Linked DNA regions of Macaca mulatta. The protein of the gene in region 2 binds, or shares a complex with, the protein of the main gene of each other region. Links are inferred from orthologs where the notes say so. Each region holds a gene or a part of one and is shown on either strand. Other genes may lie near its edges.

Region 1 (4,059 bases), on a different chromosome or scaffold from region 2:
GCCCAGCTCACCTTAATCTTGGACAACTGCAAAACCTTCCTCTTGGTGAGTCCTTGGCTTATTCATCTTTGCACACTGAGCACTGGATATACTTCCTGGCATGTGGCAGGCATTCAGTAAGGTACACGCTCAAGTGAAGGTGGGAGGAAAAGGTTGTAGATTCCCCCAAGTTACAGTTAGAACAAATTATGGAGTGATTTCTCATTAGTTCCATTATGGGGAGCATGCCTCATCCACGTTCTTAATGAGGCCCCAGTAAGTCTGTAGACTGTTTGGGGATGAGGGTGGGGCATGGGTGTGAAGCAGAAGTGGTGCTTCCCAGCAAGGGTTGGGATAAATCCAGCAAGCTGAGTTCCCCGGGGACTGTGTCCACCACCTACCCCGCAGCCGCAGGAAGGTAATCACGGATAATCAACCTGAGAAAGAGGATATGAGAGTTTGTTTGATGTCTCCAAACCTGTTATTTGCCGACTCCAAACTCATTTCTTACCAGACTATCCTCAGGCTAAATTTCCTTAAATACCAAGTTTCTATTATCACTCTTCACACTTAATCTCTCAATAAGTCCCAACTCTAAATCTAAATTGTGCAGCTGATTTTTCTTGGCCGGGCGCGGTGGCTCATGCCTGTAATCACAGCACTTTGGGAGGCCAAGGAGGGCGGATCACGAGGTCAGGAGACGGAGACCATCCTGGCTAACATGGTGAAACCCCGTCTCTACTACAAAAAAAAAAAAAAAAAAAAAAAAAAAAAAAATTTAGCCGGGCGTGGTGGCGGCGCCTAAAGTCCCAGCTACTCGGGAGGCTGAGGCAGGACAATGGCGTGAACCCGGGAGACGGAGCTGGCAGTGAGCCAAGATCGCGCCACTGCACTCCAGCCTAGGCGACAGAGCCAGACTCCGTCTCAAAATAAATAAATATATCTACTCTTCAATGTAGTCAATAAGTAAACACATGAGAGGATAGGAGAAATCACTAAAAAAAAAAAAATCCCCGCTGAATCCAACAATCTCTGAAGCCTTTAACACCTAACAACCTCAAAGAGAGTATTTCAGCCCCTCAAAGCGATGGACCCCAGGCCGCTCCCCAGTTACTCAAAAGATCCAGCCTCTCCTCTGGTGTAGCCCGCTCTAAGGCCGCCTCGGCAGTACCACCCACTCCTGACGGGGCGGGGAGTTCTCTCCGACCCCACCCCTTCCAAGAAGGCAGCGCTGGGATTGGCCATGACGCGTACCAGAGCTGCCCAGTCGCGGAAGAGCAGCTGTTTTGGCGTCTGTTTGCTGCAGGAAGAACATGGCGGATCGGCTCACGCAGCTTCAAGACGCTGTGAATTCGGTGAGGAATTTCATTCGATTAGCCTCTGTCTTTCTCTTTCCTGAGGTAAAGCAAGGGAGAAAAGGGGCCCAAGAGGCAAAACTTGGAAGTGGAAAGCGGACTGAGAAACAGGGCTTCGGCATAAAGCGCTCTCTCGGGAGGCGCCACCGCGAACTCGGAGGTGTGAGGCCGGCTGCCGGGCGGTGCTTGAAGGTGCGGGAGGGAGCAGCCTCTTTCGCTTGAGGAGACCGGGAAGATTGCTCTTGTCCGGGTGGGGCCGCCAAGACTTGTCGGCTGCGCGGTCCTGTCGTATTCCCTGAGGACAGTTTTATTTTCTTGGCAGCGGTGCTTACGGGATCTCTTTTGGGGGTTGGGAGGAGAAGCAGGAGCTCTTTTCTTTCCTCATCAATTTGAATCCACCAAGGGAGATCTCGTGCTGTGGATGACTGGGTTTTTGTAATGAAATGCCAGCCGAGAGTATTCCTTCACCAGCGCTTTCAGGTTGGTGCGGAGCGACGCTGAGGTGAGAGATTTTCTTTCATCTTCGCTCCTTCCTGTGGGCCCAGAGCCTCCTTCCATCTCTTGTCTCTTGGCCACCCCTCAGAATGCATCAGTTTGGGGACATCTTTATGATAGGAAATCTTCTGATTCTCGTATGTCTTTCCGTTTATTTGAGTCTTTCTTTTTTCTTTTCTTTCCTTTTTTTTTTTTTTTTTTTTTACTTTGGAGACTGTGTCTGTCGCCCAGGCTGGAGTACAGTGGTGCCATCTCGGCTCACTGCACCCTCCGCCTCCGCCAAACAAGTAGCTGGGATTACAGGCGCCCTCCACCACGCCCGGCTGATTTTTCTATTTTTAGTAGAGACGGGGTTTCACCATGTTGCCCAGGCTGGTCTCGAACTCCCGGCCTCAAGCGATTCTCCCGCCTCGGCCTGCCAGAGTGCTGGGATTACAGGTGTGAGCCACCGTGCCCGGCTTACAAGTCTTTTTTAACGTCTCCCCCAAATTCTACGCTCTATTAAAGGCCAAGTCTTGTAGGTAGCTCCCCAGCTTTGTTCCTTCTGGTAATTTTTCCTCCAAGCTATGCCTGAGTGGAAAGCAGAAGCAAAGCCAGAGGATGCGCATACAGTCATGGGCCCTTAATGAAGGGGTTATGTTCTGAGAAATGCATGGTTTCGGCGATAACTTTTTTTTTTAATAAGTAGAAGTACAATGTATAATAACGAGGAAACAGTAAATACATAAACCAGTAACAAAGTCATTTAGTATCATTATCAAGTATCATGGACTGTACTTAATTGTATGTGCTAGACTTTCATACACTGGCAGTGCCGTAGGTTGCTTTACAGCAGCGTCACCACAAGCACAGACCGCTATGATGTCACTAGGCAGTAAGAATTTTTCAGCGTTGTTATAACCATAGGGGACCGACATAATATATGCATCCCGTTGACCAAGACGTCAGTGGGTATTCTCTTGCTGCAATGGGTATACTTATTACCATTACCAGTTACATAGTTTTCTGTTAAATAGTTTTCCATTGATAGTTATGTTTCTCATTGTCTGATTGTGATTTAACGTCCTAGATGAGGGGCTAGAGAGAAAACATGCTGAGAGGAAAACCTAAGTACCTGGTTTCTTTGCCAGTTTTTTTTCCTCACTGTAAGCTAATAACTTGGCATTTTTCTTAATACATCAGGCTTTGTACACTTGAAGAGTGTGAATCTACTTGTGATAAACTGATCTACCCTGGGTGAATAACACTAGTTTTTAAGGCTGAGAGGACCAGCTTCTAAATGTTGAATTCACCAAGATAAATTCTGCCCTGCAGGGACTTGCCTGAGCTGCCAGTCAGCCTTCCTCAGGGAACTACTCCTTTGAGATTTTACAAAATCAAATTGTAATGATGCTGCTGGATAGAAATCTTATTTTAGGGAAACTTTTGCATATTCATACATGTCTTGTAACTAGAAGGATAGTAAGGACAGAGTGAATATGGCCTTAACTCCAGGTTAGGCATGCTGATAATTGGATTTTGGAGAAAAGCCTTTAGGATAACTAGTATGAGTGCCTACTGTGTATAAGCACTATCATGTTTGCAAAGAGATACTCCTTAAGGAGGTTAAAAAAATGTCATATACTCAGGAGACATTTAAGTGATGGAAAAACAGTATGTGGTTAGGGAGTTATAATGAATTGAGTATTTTCAGCTTTAGGTTCTGAAGTAAATTGGAATATGGAGTGATGTGAACCAAAATAGAGGGAATCTTCTTAGCATTTATCCTAATCAGATTTGTATAACTTTTAACATTTGTTCTACCCTCTGAAAACCATGAGTGCAGAAGCTATGTCGCATTCACTATGTCTCTATAGTGTTTAAATGTAGTACTTGTCATAGTTATTTTCCATAAAGTTTTGTTGACTAAATGGATCTTAAAAGTTTTTTTTTTTTTTTTTTTGAGACGGAGTCTCTCTGTGTCGCCCAGGCTGGAGTGCAGTGGCCGGATCTCAGCTCACTGCAAGCTCCGCCTCCCGAGTTTACGCCACTCGCCTGCCTCAGCCATTCTCCTGCCTCAGCCTCCCCAGTAGCTGGGACTACAGACGCCCGCCACCTCGCCCGGCTAGTTTTTTGTATTTTTTAGTAGAGACGGGATTTCACCGTGTTAGCCAGGATGGTTTCGATCTCCTGACCTCGTGATCCGCCCATCTGGGCCTCCCAAAGTGCTGGGATTACAGGCTTGAGCCAC
Region 2 (3,248 bases):
GAAAGCAGGGTCAGAAGTGTCCACTGCCAGGCTCGGAGACGTGTGAGGCAGGCAAGGAAGGGTTAAAGAAAGGTCCGGCCCTCATCCCCCCGCCTCCCATCCCCCAGTCCTTTTTTGGAGGCAACAGACCAAATCCCAGGCTAGTCAGAGTGTGGGTAGGGTTGGGCCAGGTTCGGGAGAAAGCAGAGCAGGCCACCCTGCCCCAGCACTGTGGGGCCCTGAGCCAAAGCCTCTCCCCTTTCAGGGTACAGCTGGCTTTGCGGGAGGGGCAGCAGGCCGGCCAACTTGGCTCCAAGGAAGGGAAGCTGCTTTCCCCTGGCCCTTCCTCAGCTGAGCAAGTCCACATAGGACCCTAAGCCCTGCCACCTCTGCACCTCTTCCTCCTCCTCCTCACCACAGGAGTGCGCTTTCCCCGGCCACAGCACAGGCAGTCCAGGGAGAGAGCACTGTGCCCCGCCCCGGGTGACACTGATACCAACAGCACCCACAGTCGCAAAGGGATCCACGAGGAGCTTTATTTACACATGAACAAAGGTAGATTTCCCTCACATATTACAAAATATATACACACACACACACACACACACACACACACACACACACTCTCTGCGTCTAGAAAGTTCCTCAGAAGTAAGATTACCCCTGGGCTGGGGCGGGCGCACACAGGGGTGACCACTGGGCTTGTGGTCCAGGCTGCTCACACTCCTCAGGTGCTGGCAGACAGAGAAGAAATTTCAAAAGAGGAAACCAGGAGACATCCTGGAGGTCAGGAGTCAGAAGCGGGGAATTAGAAGCTGCCAGAGGCTCTTGCACCATGTGGAGCGGATGTGAGCCACGATGCCTCATCTTTCCTCACTGCTTCCCTTGGAGGCACCTGGGGCTGTGCCAGTCCCCAGCCCCCAGCCCCCACTGCGGCCATGCCAAGCTCCTCAGAGTGCAGCAATGGCTTTAGCAGCCACCTGGCGGCCCAGGGGCAGGCTGAGGTCCGTGATGGCCAGAACCACCTTGGGGCTGGACATGGCTGACACCTTCACCAGTTCCGACACCTGCCACAGACAGAGATGCTGCTTGCTGGATGGCTGGTGGTGGGCGTGCTGTCCCAGGGGAAGGAGGCCCCTCCCTGCTCCAAGGGCTGCACCAAGGCCCCAGCACCAGCGGGAGAGCCAGGAAGGTGGTACTCACGGTGGTGAAGGGCATGAACTGCAGGACACTGCCGCGGCCACCCTGCTCCAGGCAGTCCACACACTCCTCCATGAACCACTGCACGAACTGGGTGTGGGGCCCAGCGGTGCGCGACCCCAGGATGGAGGAGATGAGCAGGAAGAGGTTGGCTGTGGAGAGTGACAGGAGGGAGTTCCATGAGAGGGGGTGAGGTCACACTCTGGGAGAAGGCGGGACTGAAAAGGGAAAAGAAATACATGCTGAGCATGTCCCCAAAACGGGGTGTCAGAGAGAGAAAATATAAAAGGCAACCGGGGAGGGGAGGGGGGGAACTAGACAGGAGCCTGGGAGCCAGGACAGCCAGCAATGAGGAGCATGGAGGGAGAAGGGAGGGGCGCCATGAGGCCCCTTCCAGATGACAAGGTCGCCCAGCCTCCATGAGGAGAGGGACTCGTCCAGCTTAACCCCAGGTTCAGCAGCACGGGTGGGGAACTTACCCAGGACTCGGTTCAGAGGGTCCCGCATGTTGACGGTGTGGAGCTGAGAGGCTGAGAGGGAGCTGCTCATGGACCGGTCTGCTGTGGGACAGAGCAGACAGAGCGCTGGGGAACAGCCTGCCGAGTGCAAAAGCGGCGCTCCCTGGGGATACCCCCACCTGACCTTCACCCATCGGAGGTAACTGGTACATGGAAAGCCCAGAGAAGACCCTGAGATCAAGAGCACAGAGGGAGGCTGGGTGCAGGGGCTCACACCTGTAATTCCAGCACTTTGGGAGGCCAAGGCAGGAGGACTGCTTAAGCCCAGGAGTTCAAGACCAACCTTGGCAACTAGCGAGACCCCATCTCTACAAAAAATACAAAAATTAGCTGGGCATGGTGCCAAAGCCTGTAGTCCCAGCTCCTTGGGAGGCTGAGGCAGACTGCTTGAGCCCAGGAGAACAAGGCTGCAGTGAGCCGAGATGGTGCCACTGCACTCCAGCATGAGCAACAGAGCAAAACCCTGTCTCAAAAAAACAGGCTGAGCGCGGGGGTTCATGCCTGTAATCCTAGCACTCTGGGAGGCCAAGGCGGGTAGATCACCTGAGTTCAGGAGTTTGAGACCAGCCTGACTAATATGGCGAAAGCCCATCTCTACTAAAATACAAAAATTAGCCGGGCGTTGTGGCAGGCGCCTGTAGTCCCAGCGACTCAGGAGGCTCAGACAGAAAAACTGCTTAACCCAGGAGGCGGAGGTTGCAGTGAGCCAAGATCACGTCACTGCACTCCCTCTGGGCAAGAGAGGGAGACTCCAACTCAAAAAACAACAACAACAAAGGCACAGAGGGGCCTCGGATACAGAGAGATCCCAACGGAGATGAGAGAGAAAAACTAACGTGTGGCGAGCACACAGCGCCAGGGGCCGATCTTGGTACTTCCTAGGCCACTTACTCCTCACAACACCCCATTTACAGATGAGGAGACCCAGATGGGGGCTGGCTCAGTCACTAAAGGTCACAGCGCTTGCAGCTGGAGCATTTTTCTTCTGATCAAGTGTATAATCGGTCCCCTAGTCCCTAAAAGCCTTCAGAGAAAAGTTCAGGCTCAGGAGAAATCTCTGGAAACAGGAAAAATGCCACAGAAGGAGCCCTTTGCAGTAAGTTTGGCAGGGAGGAGAGGACAGTGAGAAGGATGCCCTCCAGGGAAGAGAGGGGTGGGGGGGTGTGCTCTTTAGGCAGGAAGGTGGGGAGTAGTCCCAAGTTCCAGCCCGGGCCTCTCCAGGCATGTTGGGGGAAGGAAGGAAGGTCAGAGCTGGTGAGTCAATGGCACAGGCTGTGCCTGAGGCGGTGAACTCACTTGGGTAGCTTGTCATCCCCTCAACCCTGGGGTAAGGGAGGGGGCAGGAGGGTTGCAGACGGGGGCGGGAGGGGGGCTCGGGGGAACAGCTGTGGGCTGGGCTGGACCTGGGCAGAGGAGCTTCAACCCTCAGGGAGTGGGAACAGCAACCTCTTCCCTAGGGGCAAGACACAGAGCACCCCCCTGGGGGCTAAAACAGCAGGTCCCTTCCACACCCTCTCTGACCAGCCGCAAAGATGCCTGCAGCTGGGGCAG
Region 3 (4,300 bases), about 56 Mb from region 2:
GACTGAATAAAATGCCCAAAAGGGGCTAATCTGCAATCTCTCTTGAATGTAAGTATCTGGAAGGTTGTTGTCCTCAAGAGGGTATAGAATGGTTCTAGCTCAATCCAGGGACAACCAAGTTATCAAAATTAATGTCACCAGTAGTGGGACAAATAGACTTCATGTGACTGCAGATAGATGAAGGATAACACTACAATCAGACTAGAGCTACAAGGAGAGACATTATATCACAATATAAGGAATAACTTTCTAACATCTGGCTAACAATCAAATCAGCTGTCCCTGACAGAGTAACATGGGCTCAGTGAAAACCTCCAGAGTGTAGATGACCATCTCTCGGCAACGTTTTGGGTAAGATTAAACTTGTTGGTGGCTAAGGCTTCCAACACTGAGTCTGTAAATCTACATACATACAACATTTGTTGAAATCTATTTTTCTTAAAAGTCTTTTCTTTGGATTATTAAATGGATAAAAAGCCAGAAAAGGTGCAAAGGGTCCTGAAGGCAATATAAGATGTATATGCTTCGTGAGTCAATTGTTATTGGACACAGAAAAGTGACTTCGAAACAAGTTTGAAACATTTTCCTCTCAAACTTTTTTTTTTTTAAGGTTCACTATTGCTTTCTACCTGCTTAAGACAAAGCAGGGATGAGTTCAAGGTGTTTTTTTTTTTTTTTTTTTAATCATTAAAAGGGAATAGGTTTGTGGTTATATGCTTCTTGCAATTCAGTAAGCCTTAACACAAAAGTGTCGCTGAATGACCTGAATGGTAAATATATATATATATATATATAAATGAGTTAATGCATATGAAGCATTTAGCACTGTTTCTGGCACATAAGAGGCCTTAAATAAAAGATAGCAACTCTAAGACTCAGGTTAACATCACCTCCTCCAAATAACCCCAGAAACACCTTCCTTACAGATACCCTCTTTTAATTTCAGCCCATGGCTTATGTCACTTCATTTACAGACTGTGAGTTCTTCGGGACCAGAAACCTGGTGAGATGGGGAGGGTGGTGAAAGACAAGGTCAGACAAGGCAGGGCCAGATCATATAGGGCTTTAGCCCAAGAAAAGAGACTGGATTTTATTCTGCATGGTATGGAAAGTCATGGAAAGGTTCTAAGCAAGAAAGTAAAGTGTTCTGATTTATATTTTTAAATGACTAAGTTGGTTTCTGTGTAGAAAGCTGTTTTGCTTGGTTTGGTTTGGGGTGGGGGGGGGGCAGGAAGGTAAAAGTGGAAGCAGAGATAACCAGGGAGTAGATTACTGCAGTGATACAAGTTAGAGATGAGAGTGTCTTGTGTTAAGATGGTGACAACGAAAAGAAGTGGAGAGATTCCAAATACATTTTTGCCAATGTGAAACGAAGAAATCTATCATATCATAAAGTATACACATGCTTAGGATTATAAAAATTAAACTTACTTTAGATACTTGGCATATTCTGGGTCTTTCCAGTAAAGCAAGTATTTAAGATAATTAACAAAAGCTTTGTCTTTGAAGTAACCTCTTTGGGCAAGAACTGAAAAGCATTAAAAAAAAAAAATGTCTGTAGGTCAAACCAATCTTTAAACTATGCTTTGTTACCCCTAATGTAAAGGATCTATTTACATAAAACCCCCACCACCAACACACATTGAATTCAAAACACAAATCCCAGTGCGCAATTATATCTATATACCAGCATAAGTGTAATGTCATTCAATTGAGAATGTGTAAAAGTAGATACTATTTTGAATTGCAACTCTTCTGTCAGAAATCATTAGTAGCTACTCAATTTAATGAGGTGCTTAACAACTTACAATTAAGGTAATTTGGGTTGGCTAAACATTGCACAAATTCCAACTCCAACTGAAACCGAAGTCGATTTCCAGCATCATCTAGGAGACAAGACAGCAAAAATCATGGAAAGTAAGGGTCACTGTATATAATACTGATTTGTAGTAAGGAAACAGCAATAAAGAAACCTGACTAATGCCGAGATGGTCTTCCTAAACTGGGAGTTGGGGGAGATAAACCTTTCTTCGAAATCTAAGAAAAGCGGAGCCCTGATTAAAAGGAGTTAGAAGTTTCTCTAAAATTAAAGAGAAATCATCAAAGAAAGCAGCAACACAAACGGAGAATTCCTAAGATCACTAAGGTAGGCTGTAACAACTATGGCTTCCCCTATGTTAATAATGCGTTATAACAATTGTTAACAGTGATTAAGTTTTGCAAAAGCTACGTGCTGAATCAGTTAAGAAAAAGTTAGGATGCAAGAGACTGCGCAGAGCCTAAAAGATCATGGAGCGTATGCATATAAGAAGCACCAGTAGCAGAATGACACATAAAGTCCGGCGACGATATTTCAAACTTAGGCAAGCTCATGTGAGAAGCAGAAAACCAATCAAGGAGGAGACGGTTTAACACACAAGTCCTCTCCCTTAGTCTCACCCACGCCGGGGAGCTGGTAGGGTGGTGTCTGAATAGCAAAGATGTGCGAACAAACCAAATTAGGAAAACTGCAAAGAGTACCTTAGTCTTTCTAGACGCTACAAGAGCCTTCTCACCTCCTTGTCCAAATATTAACCCTGCCGAGAGTAAGGCCTGGAAGGAGGCCACGGGGAAGCCGTCTGGACCGAGGGGAGTTCCATCTGCGAAGACTCCAAGATCAGAGAGCTACTCACCTGTCTCCATAGCGACGGCAGCGGCCATAACAAACGAAGACACCAAAACGCCACCAGCCTGACCGAGCAAAAGCCCAGAGTGGCGGGGGAAGTTCCGGAAACCACGGCTCTCTCTTCCGGTCCCGGGGCACTGTGGGATATGGGGCCGGGCGGCTCCGCCCATCCCGCCAGCCCTGGGATGGCTCCACCCGCGCTGGCTCCAAAATAGCGAGGGGGCGGGGCCCGGGCCGTGGGAGCGCCTGAGGGGCAGGAGCCCAGTGTTTTTAGCCTTGGAAGGATCATGGTGTTTCCACGTCATCGTGTTGTGGCGCTCCCGGCTATGGCAGTACCGTAGTTTTCCTCTCTTCTGCCTGCGGTGACCGTTGGGCTGGGGGGTGCCCCGAGGCCTCCTTGGCCCCCTCACGCCGGCAGAATGGCCTCAGCCCGAGGGGCCAAGCAGTCTTCTCCCCGGGTGGGGACCACCCGCTACACAGAGACGTCCACAGTCCGCGTGGAGACCTCGTCCCACCGTGTGGAGACCTCGTCCCACCGCGTGGAGACGTCGTCCCGGCGGGTGGAGACCTCCCAGCGCCGCAGCGAGGGGCCCTCCCTCTCCCCCTTGGGGAAGCGGCTCCCTGGCATCCTCGAGGCGTCCTCCCGGCACGTGGAATCCTCCTCGCAGCGCACGGAAACGACGTCCCGCCACATCAGGGCCTCGTCCCTGAGGGTGGAGACGGCTCTGCACTGCGCGGAGAGCCCAGCCCCGCGGGCCAAGCCGGCCGCCCGCCAGAACGAAAAACCGGCCCGATGAGATGCTGCTTCCCAAAGGCCACCAAGGGGCCAGGGCCCTCAGCCAGGACAGAAAGGCCTCCAGTTGCCAGCCAGCCAGCCAGCTGCCAGGTGGACCAATCATTTTCGGTTTCATGGAAACAAACCATAAATCAATGGAAGAAACAGCCAAGCCGCAGTTTCTGAACACAGCCAACGTTTATTGACCATCCTGCGTCTTGGACCAGCCTACTTTTGACCCAGTGAACTATTTTCACTTGAAGCCAGCACAAAAGATTTTCATGCCCAGGATGCTGTCTAAATTGGCTTGATGGACAAAGAGGCTGTTTGAGCCTCTGAGCCAGGTGAGTTTGGGATCCACAGCCCTCAGAAGACCTTCACCCCTTAGGAACAGAGACCAAACTGAAATCATGACCTGTGGAATGATTCCATGCCTGCTAGAAACTTGAGGGGCAAGGAACAGACTCATAAATTATTAATGGCCTTTGTTTATGTTTCAAGGTAACTGGTGGTTTTCTTTATGCTAAGTCTTTGTACCTGGCACTCCCATCCATACACTTTTTAAAGGTAGGTTAGATGTAGTTAAAAATGACAGTAAACCCACCAGCAAGCAAAAATAATCTTAGAAGAGAAAGTGAGAGGAGGCCATTGAAACCTGGTCTGAGGTTTGAAGAAGATGGAGAAGAGTCATATTTATTGAGAACCTGCTCTGTGCCAGGTACTAGATGTTCCTCCACTTACAATGGGGTTACCTCCCATTAAAACTATTGTAAGTTGAAAATACGGTAATTTGAAAAGGCACTTAATATCCCTAACCTACTAAACATCATAGCTTAGCCTAGCCTACCTTAAACATGCTC
Region 4 (3,998 bases), on a different chromosome or scaffold from region 2:
GGAAATAAATTTATATGTGCGGGGGAATTAAAATGGGGGAGGCCGGGCTACGTGGTTCACGCCCGTAATTCCAGCACTTTGGGTGGCCAAGGCGGGCGGATCACTGTAGGTCAGGAGCTCGAGACCAGCCTCACCAACATGGTGAAACCCTGTCTCTACTAAAAATACAAAAAAAGGAAAAAAAAAAAAAAAATTAGCCGGGTGTGGTGGCACATGCCTGTAATCCCAGCTACTTGGGAGGCTGAGGCACGCGAATCGCTTGAACCCCGGAGACAGAGGTTGCAGCGAGCCGAAATCGCGCCACTGCACTCCAGCCTGGGCGAAAGACACTCCGTCTCAAAGAAAATAAATAAATAAATAAAACAAAATAAACCAACAAAAAACCCTGCATATCTATATTTTCGAATTTTTATGTAAGATGTCTTCATTGTATGGGTTCAATTAAAAAAGAAAAGACAAAAGGAATGGAACTACCAGCTGCGACTGTCAGCAGAAGAGTTGTAATGCGGGCAGCGGGTGGAACACACGAACAACCTTTGCTAGGTTTTCTTTGGGAGGTTATTTTCACGTCATAAATGTCTAAATTCATGGAAGTCTTACAAGAGCATGTTACATATTAAAATATAAGATTTTTTTTTTTTTTTTTGAGACGGAGTCTCGCTCTATTGCCCAGGCTGGAGTGCAGTGGCCGGATCTCAGCTCACTGCAAGCTCCGCCTCCCGGGTTCACGCCATTCTCCGGCCTCAGCCTCCCAAGTAGCTGGGACTACAGGCGCTCGCCACCTCGCCCGGCTAGTTTTTTGTATTTTTTTTTTAGTAGAGACGGGGTTTCACCGTGTTAGCCAGGATGGTCTCGATCTCCTGACCTCGTGATCCGCCCATCTCGGCCTCCCAAAGTGCTGGGATTACAGGCTTGAGCCACCGCGCCCGGCAAAATATAAGATTTTTTCTAGTCAATAAGGGGTCTATAAAAAATAAAGCAATAAGATGTCTTGTTTAATTTTATGCCTTAAAGAAACGAAGAAACAACCCTCACCTACTACTTTTAAAAGTCAGTGAAAGGGGTGGCGATGGCAGGAGTCGAATATACGCAGGCGCAATAGCGAGCGATCGGTCTGAGGCGGATCTAGAATCTCGTTAAAGGACAGCTCCTACAGCCAATCAAAGACAGAGTCGGTGGCTTCTTCCAGGAGGAGACCGGAAATTGGTTTCGGCTGCAGAGGGGGAAGGCGGCTACCAGTGTAAAGCCAGAGTTGAGGTGAGTGGGCGGCAACGGCTTGGGGCTCCCGCGTGTGTGCGTTTTTTTCTTCCGGACCCCGCGGTTTCCTCTGTGCTGGGCTGGGAACTGGGGAGGCATGGAGGAGTTCGGCCTCCGAAGACGCTCTCTCGTCTTTCTGTCCCGAGTCTCTCCGAGAGCGCGGCCTCCCCGCCGCTCGTGGAGGTCTCGGGATGGACAGCCTGGAGGAGGGGGCTCTTAGCGCTGCAGTCCCAGGGCTTCCTCCGTGTGGGGACGCCGAGCCGGAGTGGAGGTTGGGAGACGTGGTGTCTAGTCCCCTCGCCGCTGTTTTTCTAGGCTGTGTCGCCTTGGGCGAGTTATTTGCCCTTTCTGGCCCTTTGTAACATGAGAGTAGCCCTCCCTGCCCTTCCTTCTTCTGGGAGCAGTTGTGAAACAGCTGAGATACGGGGGCAGGCGAGGGCAGTAGATCCCAACCAAGCCTAATCGTCAGGTCCATCTGGAGAGGTTTTTAAAGCGACATACCAGGGCCCATTCACAGTGGACAGAATGAATCAAATCTCTGGGGCTGGGACCCTGGAATATCTGTCGTCTTCTGGTGAGGCGCCTTCTCCCCCAGAACAAACACTAGATGTTGGATCTTGAGTCTAAGAACCAGTTATGATGCTTGGCTCTGGTTTTATTAAAATAAGACTTCCATCGCCTTTGAAAAGTTCCATCTAGAGAGACAGTAGAGAAAAATATAATTTTTGTAATATGCAAGTTCTAATTGTACAATTAGATGCTTCACGGCTTAGAGATATAAGAGAGCTTGCCCTTTGGAGCTAAAGGGACCTGGGATAAGAATTCCTGTTGTACCATTTATTAACTTTTTGATCTGGGGCAACACTTCCCCTCATTGAGACTTGGGATCTTCACCTCTAAAATGAAATTGATAATAGAACTTAATTCATGGGACTCTGTGGTGGCTCACGCCTATAATCCCAGCACTTTGGGAGGCCGAGGTGGGCGGATCACTTGAGGTCGGGAGTTCCAGACCAGCCTGGCCAACATGGTGAAAACCTGTCTTTACCGAGAAATAAAAAATTAGCTGGGCGTGGTGGCACACACTTGTAGTCCCTAGCTACTCAGGAGGGTCATGCAGGTGAATCCCTTGAACCCGGGAGGCAGAGGTTGCGGTGAGCCCTGATCATACCACTGCCCTCCAGCGTGGGAGACAGATTGAGACCTTGTCTCAAAAAACAAAACAAACAACCTTAATTCATAGAATTGTTATGAAGATTATGTTAGAGAGGCCATAAAACAACAGTATCTGTCACGTAGTTGCCTTAGGAAAATGACAACCTAAGTACAGGAATGCACATCGTGTAGGAAAGTACAGAGCAGCACTCCTCACCTAAAAAGGTTTGAGTGGAATGAAACGTAAGGTGTCAAAAACTGTGTTTTGAAGTACCAGATCAATGTTAATTCCTTGATTTTGGTAATTGTGCTGTGGGTAGAAGAAAACATTCTTGTCCTGGGAAAACACATTGAAGTATTCAGGGGTGAAGGAATGAGAAACCAATAAAGCAAATGAAGGAAAATGTTAACATTTGGAGAATCTGAGTGAAGAATATGAAGTGTTCTTTGTATATTCATGCACTTTTTCTGTAATCTGAATTTATGTTATAAGTTTTAAAATGTTGGCTGGGAGTGGTGGCTCACACCTGTAGTCCCAGCACTTTGGGAGGCCAAGGCAGGAGGATTGCTTGACCTCAGGAGTTCAAAACCAGCCGGAGTAACATGGCAAAACTCTGTCTCTACAAAATATACAAAAATTAGCTGGGCGTGGTGACATTTGCCTCGTACTCCCAGCTGCTTGGGAGGTTGAGGTGGGAGGATGGCTTGAGCCTGGGAGGTCGAGGCTGCATCATCCTATGCACTACTGTGGCATGGTGGAAACTCAGGGCTGCACCACGCCTGCCCTTAGTACCTCACGAATTCTAAGTATAATATTGCTTCTAATAGAATACTTGCCCCACCTGATGTTAGAGGGTGTTATATCTTGAAACTTTGATAATACCAGTGTAAAGGAGCACTTCAGAATCTTCTCATTGGATGGTATATCTAGGCTTAAGGTAGAGTAAGTAGAGGTTATTATGGCCATAGAAGATACTGGGTTTGAACCTGGGGTTTGAAATTTCTGTGATAGTTGTAGGGAAGTTAATGTGTCCATACAGGCCGGGCGCGGTGGCTCACACCTGTAATCCCAGCACTTTGGGAGGCCAGGGTGGGCGGATCACCTGAGGTGGGGAATTAAGAGACCAATTTGGCCAACATGGCGAAATCCTGTCTCTACTAAAAATACAAAAATTAGCCGGGCATGGTGGTGTGCGCCTGTAATCCCAGCTACTTGGGAGGCTGAGGCAGGAGAATTGCTTGAGCCCAGGAGGCGGAGGTTGCAGTGAGCTGAGATCGCACCACTGCACTCCAGCCTGGGCATCAGAGCAAGACTCCGTCTCAAAAAAAAAAAAAAAAAAAAAAAAGTTAATGTGTCCATATAAAATTGCATAGTTTACTGTGACAAAAAGGATATGGAACTGAATCATTTCATTCAGGAACTTTGGATAATACCATGTCTTTAGGATTTAGCAGTGTTAATTTTGTCAGTGTTTATGAGAGATACAAGTAAGTGTTTGCTATTGGAAATCAATCTGTAACATAAAGCAAAAGTGATTCTGATATGAGATTGGGAGACAACGTGTAGTTTGGTTATGGAGGAGTAG
Region 5 (3,981 bases), on a different chromosome or scaffold from region 2:
CCTGAGTTATAAACCTGTTACAACAATTTGATTAACTGTCTTTGTCCTGCCTCTGTATCCCTGCTTTCACGCCACTGTAAGTTTGCTTCAAGCTAGCCCACCCCCTTTTGTGAAGTGTGTATAAAAGTCAAGTGCTGTCTTTGTTCTAGGCCGTCTTTGGACGTGAGTCTGCTTGGGCCTGAGTGCACTCAATGAAAGATTCTCTTGCTTTAAGCGGAAGACTCTCTCCCGTCCTCCTCAATCCTGAAACAGTGGCTCACCCCCGTAATCCCAGCACTTTGGGAGGCTGAGGCAGGCAGATCACGTGAGGTCAGGAGTTCGAGACCAGCCTGGTCAACATAGCGAAACCCCGTCTCTACTAAAAAAAAAAAAAAAAAATTAGCTGGGTGTAGTGGCGTGTGCCTGTAATCCCAGCTACTCAGGAGGCTGAGGCAGAATCGCTTGAACCCGGGAGGTGCAGGTTGCAGTGAGCCAAGACTCTGCCACTGTACTCCAGCCTGGGAGACAGAGCAAGACTCTGTTTCAAAGAAAAAAAAAAAAAGGTCTGATTCAAGCCACAGAGGGATCTATCCTGGCTCTGACCCATCCCCCTGCATTGAGACTACAATGTACGCATCTGGAAAAGGAGAACGGGGTAAATAGAAAAAGAGAGGACATAAAGGGGACAATCACACAGGAAGTACAAGGTGGCTGCTGGAGCTCAGCCAGGCCTCCCTGAATGGGAAGTTTTTCCTACTTCTAAACTGGTTGGCAACATTGCTGAGCACACAGAAGCCACAAAAGTGACTTCTGACAAAAACACAATCACCTTCAAAGTCCTTTAAATCGCTTCATGTATGAGATGTTTCCTGCAGCTCAAACCCAAGCCATCCCTCATTCACGGCCCCTCACAGGAACCCCAACCCACCCTAAGTGGGGGAAAAGCTCACTTAATGCCATCGAGCCAGGTGACAAACTCATAGGCGCTGCTGGTGGGAGCGTGACATTGTACATAGGACTCGGGAGCGCAGTCCACTGTGTTGAACACCACGAGGCTGTACTGGGTCCCTCCATACTGGGAGGGGAGAACAGAAAAACTTTTTTTTTATTTTTTATTTTTTTTTTTTGAGACGGAGTCTCGCTCTGCCGCCCAGGCTGGAGCGCAGTGGCCGGATCTCAGCTCACTGCAAGCTCCGCCTCCCGGGTTCACGCCATTCTCCTGCCTCAGCCTCCCGAGTAGCTGGGACCACAGGCGCCCACCACCTCGCCCGGCTAGTTTTTTGTATTTTTTAGTAGAGACGGGGTTTCACCGTGTTAGCCAGGATGGTCTCGATCTCCCGACCTCGTGATCCGCCCGTCTCGGCCTCCCAAAGTGCTGGGATTACAGGCTTGAGCCACCACGCCCGGCCCAGAAAAACTTTTAATCTGGGATCTCCATTCTCTTTTCCCTCAGAGAAGGAATCAGGGCTCCCAGCTTCCTGTTCCTCCAGAACCAGGAACTCCTCAACTTCCTCCTTCCTCAGACCCAGGAATCTCAGCCCCATCCCCTCCTCCCTCAGACCCAGGAGTCCAGACCCCTGTCCCTCCTCCCTCAGACCCAGGAGTCCAGACCCCGAACTCCTCCTCCCTCAGACCCAGGAGTCCAGGCCCCTCCTCCTCCCTCAGACCCAGGAGTCCAGACCCCGAACCCCTCCTCCCTCAGACCCAGTAGTCCAGACCCCTCCTCCTCCCTCAGACCCAGGAGTCCAGGCCCCTCCTCCTCCCTCAGACCCAGGAGTCCAGACCCCGAACCCCTCCTCCCTCAGACCCAGGAGTCCAGGCCCCCAGCCCCTCCTCCCTCAGACCCAGGAGTCCAGACCCCGAACCCCTCCTCCCTCAGACCCAGGAGTCCAGGCCCCCAGCCCCTCCTCCCTCAGACCCAGGAGTCCAGGCCCCCAGCCCCTCCTCCCTCAGACCCAGGAGTCCAGACCCCGAACCCCTCCTCCCTCAGACCCAGTAGTCCAGACCCCGAACTCCTCCTCCCTCAGACCCAGGAGTCCAGGCCCCCAGCCCCTCCTCCCTCAGACCCAGGAGTCCAGACCCCCAGTCCCCTCCTCCCTCAGACCCAGGAGTCCAGGCCCCCAGCCCCTCCTCCCTCAGACCCAGGAGTCCAGACCCCGAACCCCTCCTCCCTCAGACCCAGTAGTCCAGACCCCGAACTCCTCCTCCCTCAGACCCAGGAGTCCAGACCCCGAACTCCTCCTCCCTCAGACCCAGTAGTCCAGACCCCGAACTCCTCCTCCCTCAGACCCAGGAGTCCAGACCCCGAACTCCTCCTCCCTCAGACCCAGGAGTCCAGACCCCGAACTCCTCCTCCCTCAGACCCAGTAGTCCAGACCCCGAACTCCTCCTCCCTCAGACCCAGGAGTCCAGACCCCGAACTCCTCCTCCCTCAGACCCAGGAGTCCAGGCCCCCAGCCCCTCCTCCCTCAGACCCAGGAGTCCCAAGACTCACGTCTCCCCCGAAGTCCGTCTCAGCAGGAGGACCACCATTAAAATACCTGTGAGGGTCGGAGGTGAAAGGTCGGAGTCAGGCAAGAAGCTGTGGAAACTGAAATGGGAGGGCGGGATTAGAGCCGCGGAAACGGCACTCACTCGATGGCCGGCAGCAGGTAGTGCTTGCGGAGTCCCTCGAAGTAGGGTCCCAGGTTGGCCGTACCCTCAATCACAAACACCACGTCGGCCACCAGGCCCCCGGCGCGGGCCGGGCCCTCGGACCCGGGGACCATACCCCGTGCGGTAGCCGCCACCGCCACAGCCGCCGCAGCCGACACCGCGGAATGAGCGGAAATGCGCCTGCGCTGCGCGCGCACCCGCGCCGGGCGGTTTAGGGACGCTGGGAATGCGGCCATGTTTGTGCGGGGCACGCGCTGAGGCTTCGTTCTAGCTCCATCCTCCTTCGCCTCCACCGCGTGGAAAACTCAGAAAGGGCATAGTTAGCCCTTTTAGGGGCCTGATGGGTTCGACGGAATTCTTGTCAGGATTCTCAAGAGCGAAATAAATTGAAAGCGGCTCAGTCAGCCGCCATCTTTGAGCGGGGCGTCTGGGTCCGCCTCTTGTCTCAAAGGGAGGGGCGGGAGACCTGGTTGCTATGCAACGCGTACGCTGCCCTTGTTTTCGTTTTTGTGTTTTGTTTCCTTTGTTTTCGAAAGGGGAGTCTCGCCCTGTCGCCCAGGCTGAAGTGCAGTGGCGCGATCTCGGCTCACTACAACCTCCGCCTCCCGGGTTCAAGCGATTCTCCTGCCTCAGCCTTCCGAGTAGCTGGGATTACAGGTGCCCGCCACCAGGCTCCGCTAATTTTTGTATTTTTAGTAGAGAAAGGGTTTCACCATGTGGGCCAGGCTGTTCTCGAACTCCTGACCTCAAGTGATTCGCCCGCCTTGGATTCCCAAAGTGCTAAGATTACAGTCCTGAGCCACAGCGCCGGGACCTCTGCCCTTGTTTTCTAACCGTTAGATTAAGTTTCTGATTCTGTTCTTTTGGGCGGGCGGACTGGGGGAGGGAGGCGAGAAGGATCCAATCACATCGGCGGAAACGAGGTTACTAGGCAACGCTTTAAGGTCGTCCTCAACTTGGAAGGGAGGGCAGTTGTTTTCCCCCTGAAAAGAAGCCGAATACCAACCCAAGTGTGGGTTGCTTAGCAACACCTGAGCGTTGTTTTCCGGGAGAGGAGCCAGAAACTGGCCTAGAACATAAATACATTCCAGGTAGATTAAAAATGTAAGTGCGACAAATGAAACTCGAAAACTATCTGAAGGAAAAAAATCTTAATGACTGCCATTGAGTTTCTTAGCACTACAGCAAAGTCAGAAAACGTAGTCTTTATTAATTTTTCCCAAAAGACTGCATAAACCAAGTTGAAAAATACACTACCAACTGGAATAATCTAACGTGTTTGTTGACAGAAATGTGCTACACAAATCTTATTGATGAATAATATAGAAAAATAGAAACACTGCATTA
Region 6 (3,500 bases), on a different chromosome or scaffold from region 2:
GGATAGTTAGAAGACAGTATCTGGAACTTTTAAAGCACCTCACATTGAAAATACTTTTTATGCTTCCTGTTTCTTTTTTCTTTTTTTTCTTTTCTTTTTTTTTTTTTTTTGAGACGGAGTCTCGCTCTGTCACCCAGGCTGGAGTGCAGTGGCGCGATCTCAGCTCACTGCAAGCTCTGCCTCCCAGGTTCATGCCATTCTCCTGCCTCAGCCTGGGTGACAGCTTTTTTTTGTATTTTTAGTAGAGACAGGGTTTCACCGTGTTAGCCAGGATGGTCTCGATCTGCTGACCTCATGATCCACCCACCTCAGCCTCCCAAAGTGTTGGGATTACAGACGTGAGCTACCGATTATGTTTTTTTTTTTAATGAACTAGAACATAAATGACATAGTAGGGAAATGCATCCCAGAAATGGGTATTAATCAAACCACAGACATTCTTCATCTACCTTGAGAAAAGATACAGGCCTTTTCTAATGTTTTATAACTCTTAAATGGTTAGGAAATGATAAGAAACTGTACATTATAGATTAATGTATAATTATAGTTATGGATAAAAATAACCTGATCAACATAAATTTGGCTTCCAGGCCCCCTAGAGCAAGGGTCCCCAACCCCTGTCCATGCCTTGTTAAGAACCAGGCCGCACAGCGTGCGGTAAGTGGCAGGCGAGCGAGCATTACAACCTGTGCTCTGCCTCCTGTCAGGCAACGGCATTAGATTCTCATAGGGGCACAAACCCTATTGTGAACCGCACATGCAAAGGATCTAGGTTGTGCACTCCTTATGAGACTCTTAATGCCTGATGATTTAAGGTGGAATAGTTTCATCCTGAAACCATTCCCCACCACGTGGAAAAATTGTCTTCCACAAAACCGGTCCCTGGTGCCAAAAAAGGTTGGAGACTGCTGCCCTAGAGGAACACTGCCCAATAGAAATATAATGTGAACCTCAAATCTAATTTTCTACTAGCCACATTAAAATAGTAAAAAGAAACTGATGAATTTTAATAATATATTTTATTTAACTCAATATATTCAAAGTGTTATTTCAACATGTACCAATATAAAAATATTCATGAAATATTTACATACTTTTCTTTTTTTCTTTTTCTTTTTTTTGGAGATGGAGTCCTGTTCTGTCACCCAGGCTAGAGTGCAGTGGCATGATCTCACTGCAACCTCCGCCTACAGGCTCAAGCGATTCTCCTGCCTCAGCCTCCCAAGTAGCTGGGATTACAGGCATGCACCACCACGCCTGACTAATTTTTGTATTTTTAATAAAGACGGGGTTTCACCATGTTGGCCACCTGGTCTTGAACTCCTGACCTCAGGTGATCCACCGACCTCGGCCTCCCAAAGTTGCTGGGATTACAGGCGTGAGCCACTGCACCTGGCCTCTAAGTGTTTGGGCTCCAGTGCCTCCTTTTACCTGCAGTCCACACAAGTTCTGACTGGCCTCACTGGCAGAGCTCGGTGGCCATGTGTGGCTGGTGGCTACTGTACTGGATAGTCCATGTCTAGAAGGAAGGAAGAACATGAGACAAGGATGAGGGAAAGAGCCTGGGGCAGGTTAAAGGATGCCTTTGAGACCTCCTTCCCGCTAAGATCTGGAATGTGTTAGAATCTGAGAACCAGCCTGCCCCTCTTGAGGCTCATGCCCCTGCTCTGTGTGTTCTCTTTGGCAGGTTTGTTTTGGAGCAGTACAACGCTCTGTCCTGGCTCACGTGCAATCCGGCCACCCAGGACCGTACTTCCTGCCTTCCCGTCCACTTTGTGGTGCTCACTCAGTTGTACAATGCCATCATGAATATACTTTAATTGGAAAAGCACTTGTTCTCTCTGGCTCAGTTCCTTCTCCCTGCAACCTCAGTCCAAGGAACCTGCTACACTCTGCAAATAACCCACATCCTTTTCTTCAGACACTCTCCACAGTCCTGCACTGTGATTCCTTCTCAGCAGGCACATGTCAATTCTGCAGTGTTCATTACCAGAGTGACTCCTTGACACTTCTCTCATGGACCTGGAAACTTCCATACGTGGTGACTTTCAGCCAGTGCGGTGGTGTATGTAGCCCCCAACCACTGGTCCCCGGAAGTGGTGGTGGTTGGTGGCTTTTCAGCGGGAAACAGAAGAGACAGTGTCCTTTTGCACAAGAGTCTGTGTTTTCAGCCTCTGTATACAATTGAGGGCAGTCTAGCCCTTTGGATGAAATCCTCTAGTTACTGGTGTATGGCCTGTGGGTTACCTGAACTCCATAATCTGGGACTTTTTAAAAATAAGAACCAGCTCAAGTACATGGTTTCATACTGGGGTTCCTGTCTCCCTAGTGCTCCCATCCAGATTGGCGTGAGTGCTTCGGCAGACTTCACACCTGTGTGTGGATGCAGAAGGTCTGGAGACAGCTTCATTTTGTTTATTTATTTTAATTTGTTTTGTCATACGGTTTTTGTGACTTTGTTTTTTTAATTCACGAGGACCAGGTACAGTAGCTGAAACCCAATTCAGATCCACCATAGGATTCTTTGACTACATACCTCTGTCCTAGAAGCCGGAAAAGGAGTAAAAACACATTGGGGAGATCATGCCTAAAAGTAATATATTCAAAACCACCCAGCAGTAGGTTTTGTTAACAACAAACTGAGTTTTAAAAGTTCTGCCATGTTAAGTGGCCAGCATTTCATGAAGGATAACATTTTTATACAGAAGGCAGTCAAGCTCAACTCAGAGCCATGGAGGCAAGTACCTTAATTAGTTTTATATAGTCACAACGGAAATATATTTTCTAGTGAATTCTTACCGAAAGCCAGGTCTCTCCTCTCATTAGATCAAAAGGGACTTATGTACATACAACAATTGAAAGTGTTTGCTCATGAAATCAGTTATAAATATGGTGAATTTTTTCTGGACCATAGGAATATTATTTCAAAGAAATATTACAACTTAACCATTAAATTAGTACTTGAAGTTGAGCCTTTGTGGTGGGACTTTTTAAAAAATGCCTTTTTAAAGCATTAATGGCTAATTGAAGTATTTTATGACTCCTCATTCCTGGCCCAGAGGGTTGTCTTTGAAACCCTGTTTCTAACCCTTGTGTTGTGTGTTTCTGTCTGAGGGCAGTGGGTGTGTACTGGCCTCCCGGGAGCCACTGTGACCAGGCCTTTGAGCTCTTGTCATCTGTGGAGAGAATCATGCAAATTTTAAAAGTTCTTCCAAGAGACTTCCATGTCCTGGTTATTAACAAAAAAGGAAAAATGTAATAATTGATATGATTTTGTAAAAGTATTTTTCTTGAAATAATCTAAAGTTTAAAACATTATATTAAAAAAAAAGTTGTGTGGTGGGAATGTGAAAGCAGAGAAATAACTTGTAAATGGATAATTTTCTTCTCTGTACCACCAGTTGAAGGGGGGTTGACTTTCGCAATGTATAGGATAAAAAATCTGATATATCAAACCATTTGTATCTAATGTGTACAGTGTAAAATTGACTTTAAAAATA
Region 7 (4,200 bases), on a different chromosome or scaffold from region 2:
AGCTAATTTGTTTGGTTTTTAACCACTGAATCTCTAATAACAAGAGTATGTTGCCAGTTCTTGATTTTTCTGTTTTGAGTATTACCTACTGACTTTCTTCAATGGAAGATGAATATTTAATACTCTGTCACACTCACCACTCCTCTACCATAGCCATGCAATCTATCCTCCAATTCTCCTAATATAGTTAGAGCAATATTGAATCTATATACCATGACCATAGAAACACTATTCATAGATACCATGATTACTAGTTTTTCACTGCATGTTTTGTTTTTCCTGAAGTCAGTAAAAGTCTTGCTTTTTACTTTCCTTAGTTTTTTGTGTATTTGTCACTAATTCAACCCTAAACTCTTCTCCAGTTGTATAAATCGTTCTCCATATATTCAGACATGTTAGATTGTCTGTCAGCTTCATTTTCTTGAAGAACTCTCTTTGGGAGCCTCTGCATGCTCTCCTTGGGTGGTTTGCTCTCTGTGTAGCCAAACATCTGTGGTCTTGAAGTCCCTGTCACCATCCTCTTGTGGTATATCTCATTTCCTGGGCCCCATATTTTTTTACTTCTTCATTTAATGGAACACATCTTGTACTAATTTCCTGAGAAAGGATACATGAGAAGTAATTTTTTGAGAACATACCTGAAAATGTCTTTATTCTGATTTCACACTTAATTGATAGTCTGGCTGCGTATGGAATTCTAGGTTGGAAATCATTTTTCCTCAGTATTTTGAGGGTACTGTCCCCATTGTATTCTAGGCTTTTGGTGTTCTGCTTGAGGAGTCTTAATGCTGTTCTGATTTTTAATTATTTATATAAAGTCTGTTTGTTGTTCTCTCTAGAAATTTGAAATTTCACGATAATGTACCTTGATGGAGAGCTATTTTCATACTGTGCTGGACACTCAGAGGACCCTTTTAAGCACAAAAAACTCAAAACCTTTAGTTCGGGGACAGCTTTATTGAGTTATTCTTTTCAGCATTTTCGCCTTTTCATTTTTTCCCCTTATTCTTTCTTTCTAGAACTCCCATATTCAGAAGTCATGTTTTCTGGACTTGTCCTTTAATCTTTTAAAAATATTTTCTTAATCGTTTTCCATCTCTATCTTTTTGTTCTATATTGTGAGAAATTTCCTTAACTTTTCCAATTCCTTTTCCAGCCCTTTTTATTTCTGCTATTATGTGTTTCATTTTCCAGGGTAACTTTTTTCTTTTTGTTCACCAAATATATTTTTTATGATATCCTCTACCTGTTTCATGAGTAAAATGTCTTCTCTCTGAGGAGTTTAATGATTTTTTTTTCCTGAGTTTTCATCCCCCTGAGTCTCTTCAGTTTTTCAATGTTGCATTTAGATTTCATTTGTTTTGGTCTCCTGTCTTTATATAAAATACTTTCCTCTAATGCCTCATGATCTTGGCTGCCTGCTCATGTTTAGAAACCGGGAATCTTGTTTTCAGTATCATCTTCATTCCCTCTACTAGTGGTACCTGATGCTGCCAGTGATTGAGTCTTTGGGGAGTTCTGTGATATATTTCACGTTCAGTTCAACTTTTCCCACTACCAGCACAGGATTCAGCTTTCCTGAGTTTGCTGACTTCCACTTGTCTACTTGGTTTCCAGTTTTGTGTCTCTTCTGTCTTTGTCCTGGGTGCTTCTGCTTTACAATGAACATGCAGTCGTTTCTGTCACTTGGGGAGATTTGAAAGGGGAGTAATCTAAATCAGGTCAGCAAACTCTGGTTCCTATGCCAGATCTATCCAAGAGCTTATTTTTGTGTGGTCTGGCTTAAAAATGATTTTTGTGTTTTTAGGCCAGGTGCAGTGGCTCATGCCTGTAATCCCAGCATTTTAGGAGACTTTGGGAGGCAGGCAGATCATTTGAGTCCAGGAATTTGAAACCAGCCTGGGCAACATGGTGAAACCCCCACTCTACTAAAAACACAAAAAATTAACCGGGCGTGGTGGCACACACCTGCAATCCCAGCTACTAGGGAGGCTGAGGCACGAGAATCACTTGAACCCAGGAGGCAGAGGTTGCAGTGAGCTGAGATCACGATGCTGCACTCCAGCCTGGGTGGCAGAGCAAGGCTGTCTCAAAAAAGAAAACAAAACAAACAAACAAACAAACAAATTTTTACATTTTTAAAGGGTTGCTGAGCAAAACAGAACAAAAGCACAGAAGGATATGTGACAGGCTATGGCCCACAACGCCTAACATATTTACTGTCCACTTACAGAGAAAGTCGTTCAGCCCCAATTGAAATCTCCTATTTCAAACTGGAAAACTAGTTCCTTCCCTCCCAATGCCCACAGCCAGTGATCACCTCCCATTTCATAGAGAAAACCAATCTACTGGACAATCTATTCCTTACTCTCCCATCCCTATACCAAACCACTGCGGTTTGCAGGTTACCCATAATACTTCATTAAGTCAAACTGCAATGAATGTCAGAGGTCATTGAAAACCTCCTTGTTAGTGAATTCAACCCCTATTTTTTCAGTCTGTATTTTACTGGCTGCTCTATGACATTTGATAACGTGTGGCTTCCATTCTCACGGAGTCAACTGAGCCTGCTCTTCCTGAGATTGCCAGTAGCATCCTAATTGCCAAACCCAGAGAATGCTTTCCACACCTTATCTTCTTCTTTCTTTTGCTACATTTAACATTATTACTGCCCATCTATTTCTGGAATATTTCTACTCCCTTATATTCTGTGATAGTATTTTCTCTTAGTCCTCACCATCCCACACCCGATCAGTTTCCCAATCCTGTCCGTTCTCCCTTTGAATTTCATCCCACCCCCCACAGCCTCATGTGAGACCCTCATCATCTGTCACCTGGCTTACCACAAAGCTCTCCTGCTAGGTCTTAGCCTCCTTGCGCTCTTTCACACTGCCACTAGAATGGTTTTTCTGAAGCAAAAATCTGTTGATATCATTGATTTTCTGAAAAATTTATAGTCTTTTTCTCTGCTCTGTCTGCTTCTACTCAATAAAATCCAAACTCCTAACTTGGTATTCAAAACCCCATCTGGTCTGCTTTTCTGCCTTATTTTCACTGTGTTTCTCCCTCTCTATATTCCTCCCCACTTATCAGTCCCCCTTTTACTTCAGCCACACTGTCATCAACAGTGATGATGCTGATGAGAAAAACACTAACAGCAGCATGTATTGAGGACGTAACTACATGCCAGGCACTGTGTTCACTGCTTAATGTTAATTTGGTCATCTAATCCTCGTGACATGGCCTTATGAGGTGGGTTCTATTAATGGTCCACCAATATGGCACATATGAACTTGAAACATCTTTAAACATTTTTTTTAAAAGGTAAGTGTCAGAATTCATTTGGCAGTAAAATCTGACCTGAAATGGTATGAATGTATTTATAGTTCCTTCTAGCGTAAAGATTCATTTCATAGAAGAAATATTAACATTTAATTACAGGATGCTGCCCCAAACCTCATAGGGGGATGTTAAATAATATATGGTTTGTGCAGTATACTGCTTTCCTAAAATCTGAACACTTTGAGATTCTAATACTATCTAGTTTGAGGGGGCTCAAATAAGAGATTTTGATCTTTGTATTACTCTTTTTACAGATGAGGAAATTAAGGCTCAGCAAGATTAAGTAGTTTGCCCAAAGTTACGTAGTGGAAAAAACAGCGGAGCCCGGATTAGCACCATGGTGGCCTGGTTCAAACGCATACCTTGTCTGCTGTGCTGCACAGGTCCATGCCACCTGCAGGTCCCTGCCCTCGACCTCTTCTGGGTTGCTGGCTTTCTGCTTTCCCTGTTCTTCCAGTGCTCAGCCCTGGCTGACTTCCCTTCCATTCCTATTCACCCAGGCTGGCTTCTTTCAGTAGCAGCCTCCATGCCTTTACCCCCTTGTCCTCCTGAAAATGTCCCACTGATACCAAGCTCTGACCAGGTCTGCCCATCTGTCTCTGATTGGGCGGTCTTTCATTTGAGACTCGATAGAAAGGCGAACCACACTCCTCTCCCAGTTTCAGACTGTGCCCTATTTAGTACTTGGCAATATTGCCTTTTCCATTTCCTTTATCAGCTTCCTTTCCTGTTTCTAGAGCAGCTGTACTAAAACTTTTCCTATACCCCTGAGCTCCAAAGCTTATCCATACCATCTTACTCTCAGTTTCAGCAGCACATGCCTAGTTCCATTTTCATTCCACCTGCTTGAGTCGTACA

Evidence for each region.
Region 1: MED24 (region 2) and MED21 share a complex: the UniProt entries of both Homo sapiens proteins name them as parts of the mediator complex. The link is inferred for Macaca mulatta from reciprocal best matches to the Homo sapiens genes MED24 and MED21.
Region 3: MED24 (region 2) and MED31 share a complex: the UniProt entries of both Homo sapiens proteins name them as parts of the mediator complex. The link is inferred for Macaca mulatta from reciprocal best matches to the Homo sapiens genes MED24 and MED31.
Region 4: MED24 (region 2) and MED7 share a complex: the UniProt entries of both Homo sapiens proteins name them as parts of the mediator complex. The link is inferred for Macaca mulatta from reciprocal best matches to the Homo sapiens genes MED24 and MED7.
Region 5: MED24 (region 2) and MED25 share a complex: the UniProt entries of both Homo sapiens proteins name them as parts of the mediator complex. The link is inferred for Macaca mulatta from reciprocal best matches to the Homo sapiens genes MED24 and MED25.
Region 6: MED24 (region 2) and MED13L share a complex: the UniProt entries of both Homo sapiens proteins name them as parts of the mediator complex. The link is inferred for Macaca mulatta from reciprocal best matches to the Homo sapiens genes MED24 and MED13L.
Region 7: MED24 (region 2) and MED8 share a complex: the UniProt entries of both Homo sapiens proteins name them as parts of the mediator complex. The link is inferred for Macaca mulatta from reciprocal best matches to the Homo sapiens genes MED24 and MED8.

The regions. Positions count from the first base shown.
Region 1 is NC_133416.1:29,388,715-29,392,773, forward strand, and holds the start of MED21 (mediator of RNA polymerase II transcription subunit 21), read left to right. Parts: upstream 1-1,259; 5' UTR 1,260-1,292; coding exon 1,293-1,334; intron 1,335-4,059. UniProt on the Homo sapiens protein: Component of the Mediator complex, a coactivator involved in the regulated transcription of nearly all RNA polymerase II-dependent genes.
Region 2 is NC_133421.1:64,372,116-64,375,363, forward strand, and holds the end of MED24 (mediator of RNA polymerase II transcription subunit 24), read right to left. Parts: intron 2,722-3,248; exon of another isoform or gene 2,589-2,721; intron 1,740-2,588; coding exon 1,659-1,739; intron 1,332-1,658; coding exon 1,183-1,331; intron 1,047-1,182; coding exon 930-1,046; 3' UTR 501-929; downstream 1-500. UniProt on the Homo sapiens protein: Component of the Mediator complex, a coactivator involved in the regulated transcription of nearly all RNA polymerase II-dependent genes.
Region 3 is NC_133421.1:8,131,825-8,136,124, forward strand, and holds the start of MED31 (mediator of RNA polymerase II transcription subunit 31), read right to left. Parts: upstream 2,801-4,300; 5' UTR 2,701-2,800; coding exon 2,673-2,700; intron 1,887-2,672; coding exon 1,809-1,886; intron 1,529-1,808; coding exon 1,432-1,528; intron 1-1,431. Other genes in the region: C16H17orf100 (uncharacterized protein C17orf100 homolog), read left to right, coding at 3,085-3,462. UniProt on the Homo sapiens protein: Component of the Mediator complex, a coactivator involved in the regulated transcription of nearly all RNA polymerase II-dependent genes.
Region 4 is NC_133411.1:166,007,764-166,011,761, reverse strand, and holds the start of MED7 (mediator of RNA polymerase II transcription subunit 7), read left to right. Parts: upstream 1-1,198; 5' UTR 1,199-1,257; intron 1,258-3,998. UniProt on the Homo sapiens protein: Component of the Mediator complex, a coactivator involved in the regulated transcription of nearly all RNA polymerase II-dependent genes.
Region 5 is NC_133424.1:62,282,513-62,286,493, reverse strand, and holds the start of MED25 (mediator of RNA polymerase II transcription subunit 25), read right to left. Parts: upstream 2,801-3,981; 5' UTR 2,748-2,800; coding exon 2,614-2,747; intron 2,570-2,613; exon of another isoform or gene 2,520-2,569; coding exon 2,474-2,519; intron 1,055-2,473; coding exon 930-1,054; coding exon of another isoform or gene 908-929; intron 359-907; exon of another isoform or gene 261-358; intron 1-260. UniProt on the Homo sapiens protein: Component of the Mediator complex, a coactivator involved in the regulated transcription of nearly all RNA polymerase II-dependent genes.
Region 6 is NC_133416.1:123,210,902-123,214,401, reverse strand, and holds part of MED13L (mediator of RNA polymerase II transcription subunit 13-like), read left to right. Parts: intron 1-1,687; coding exon 1,688-1,820; 3' UTR 1,821-3,500. UniProt on the Homo sapiens protein: Component of the Mediator complex, a coactivator involved in the regulated transcription of nearly all RNA polymerase II-dependent genes.
Region 7 is NC_133406.1:196,876,032-196,880,231, reverse strand, and holds the start of MED8 (mediator of RNA polymerase II transcription subunit 8), read right to left. Parts: upstream 2,801-4,200; 5' UTR 2,797-2,800; intron 1-2,796. UniProt on the Homo sapiens protein: Component of the Mediator complex, a coactivator involved in the regulated transcription of nearly all RNA polymerase II-dependent genes.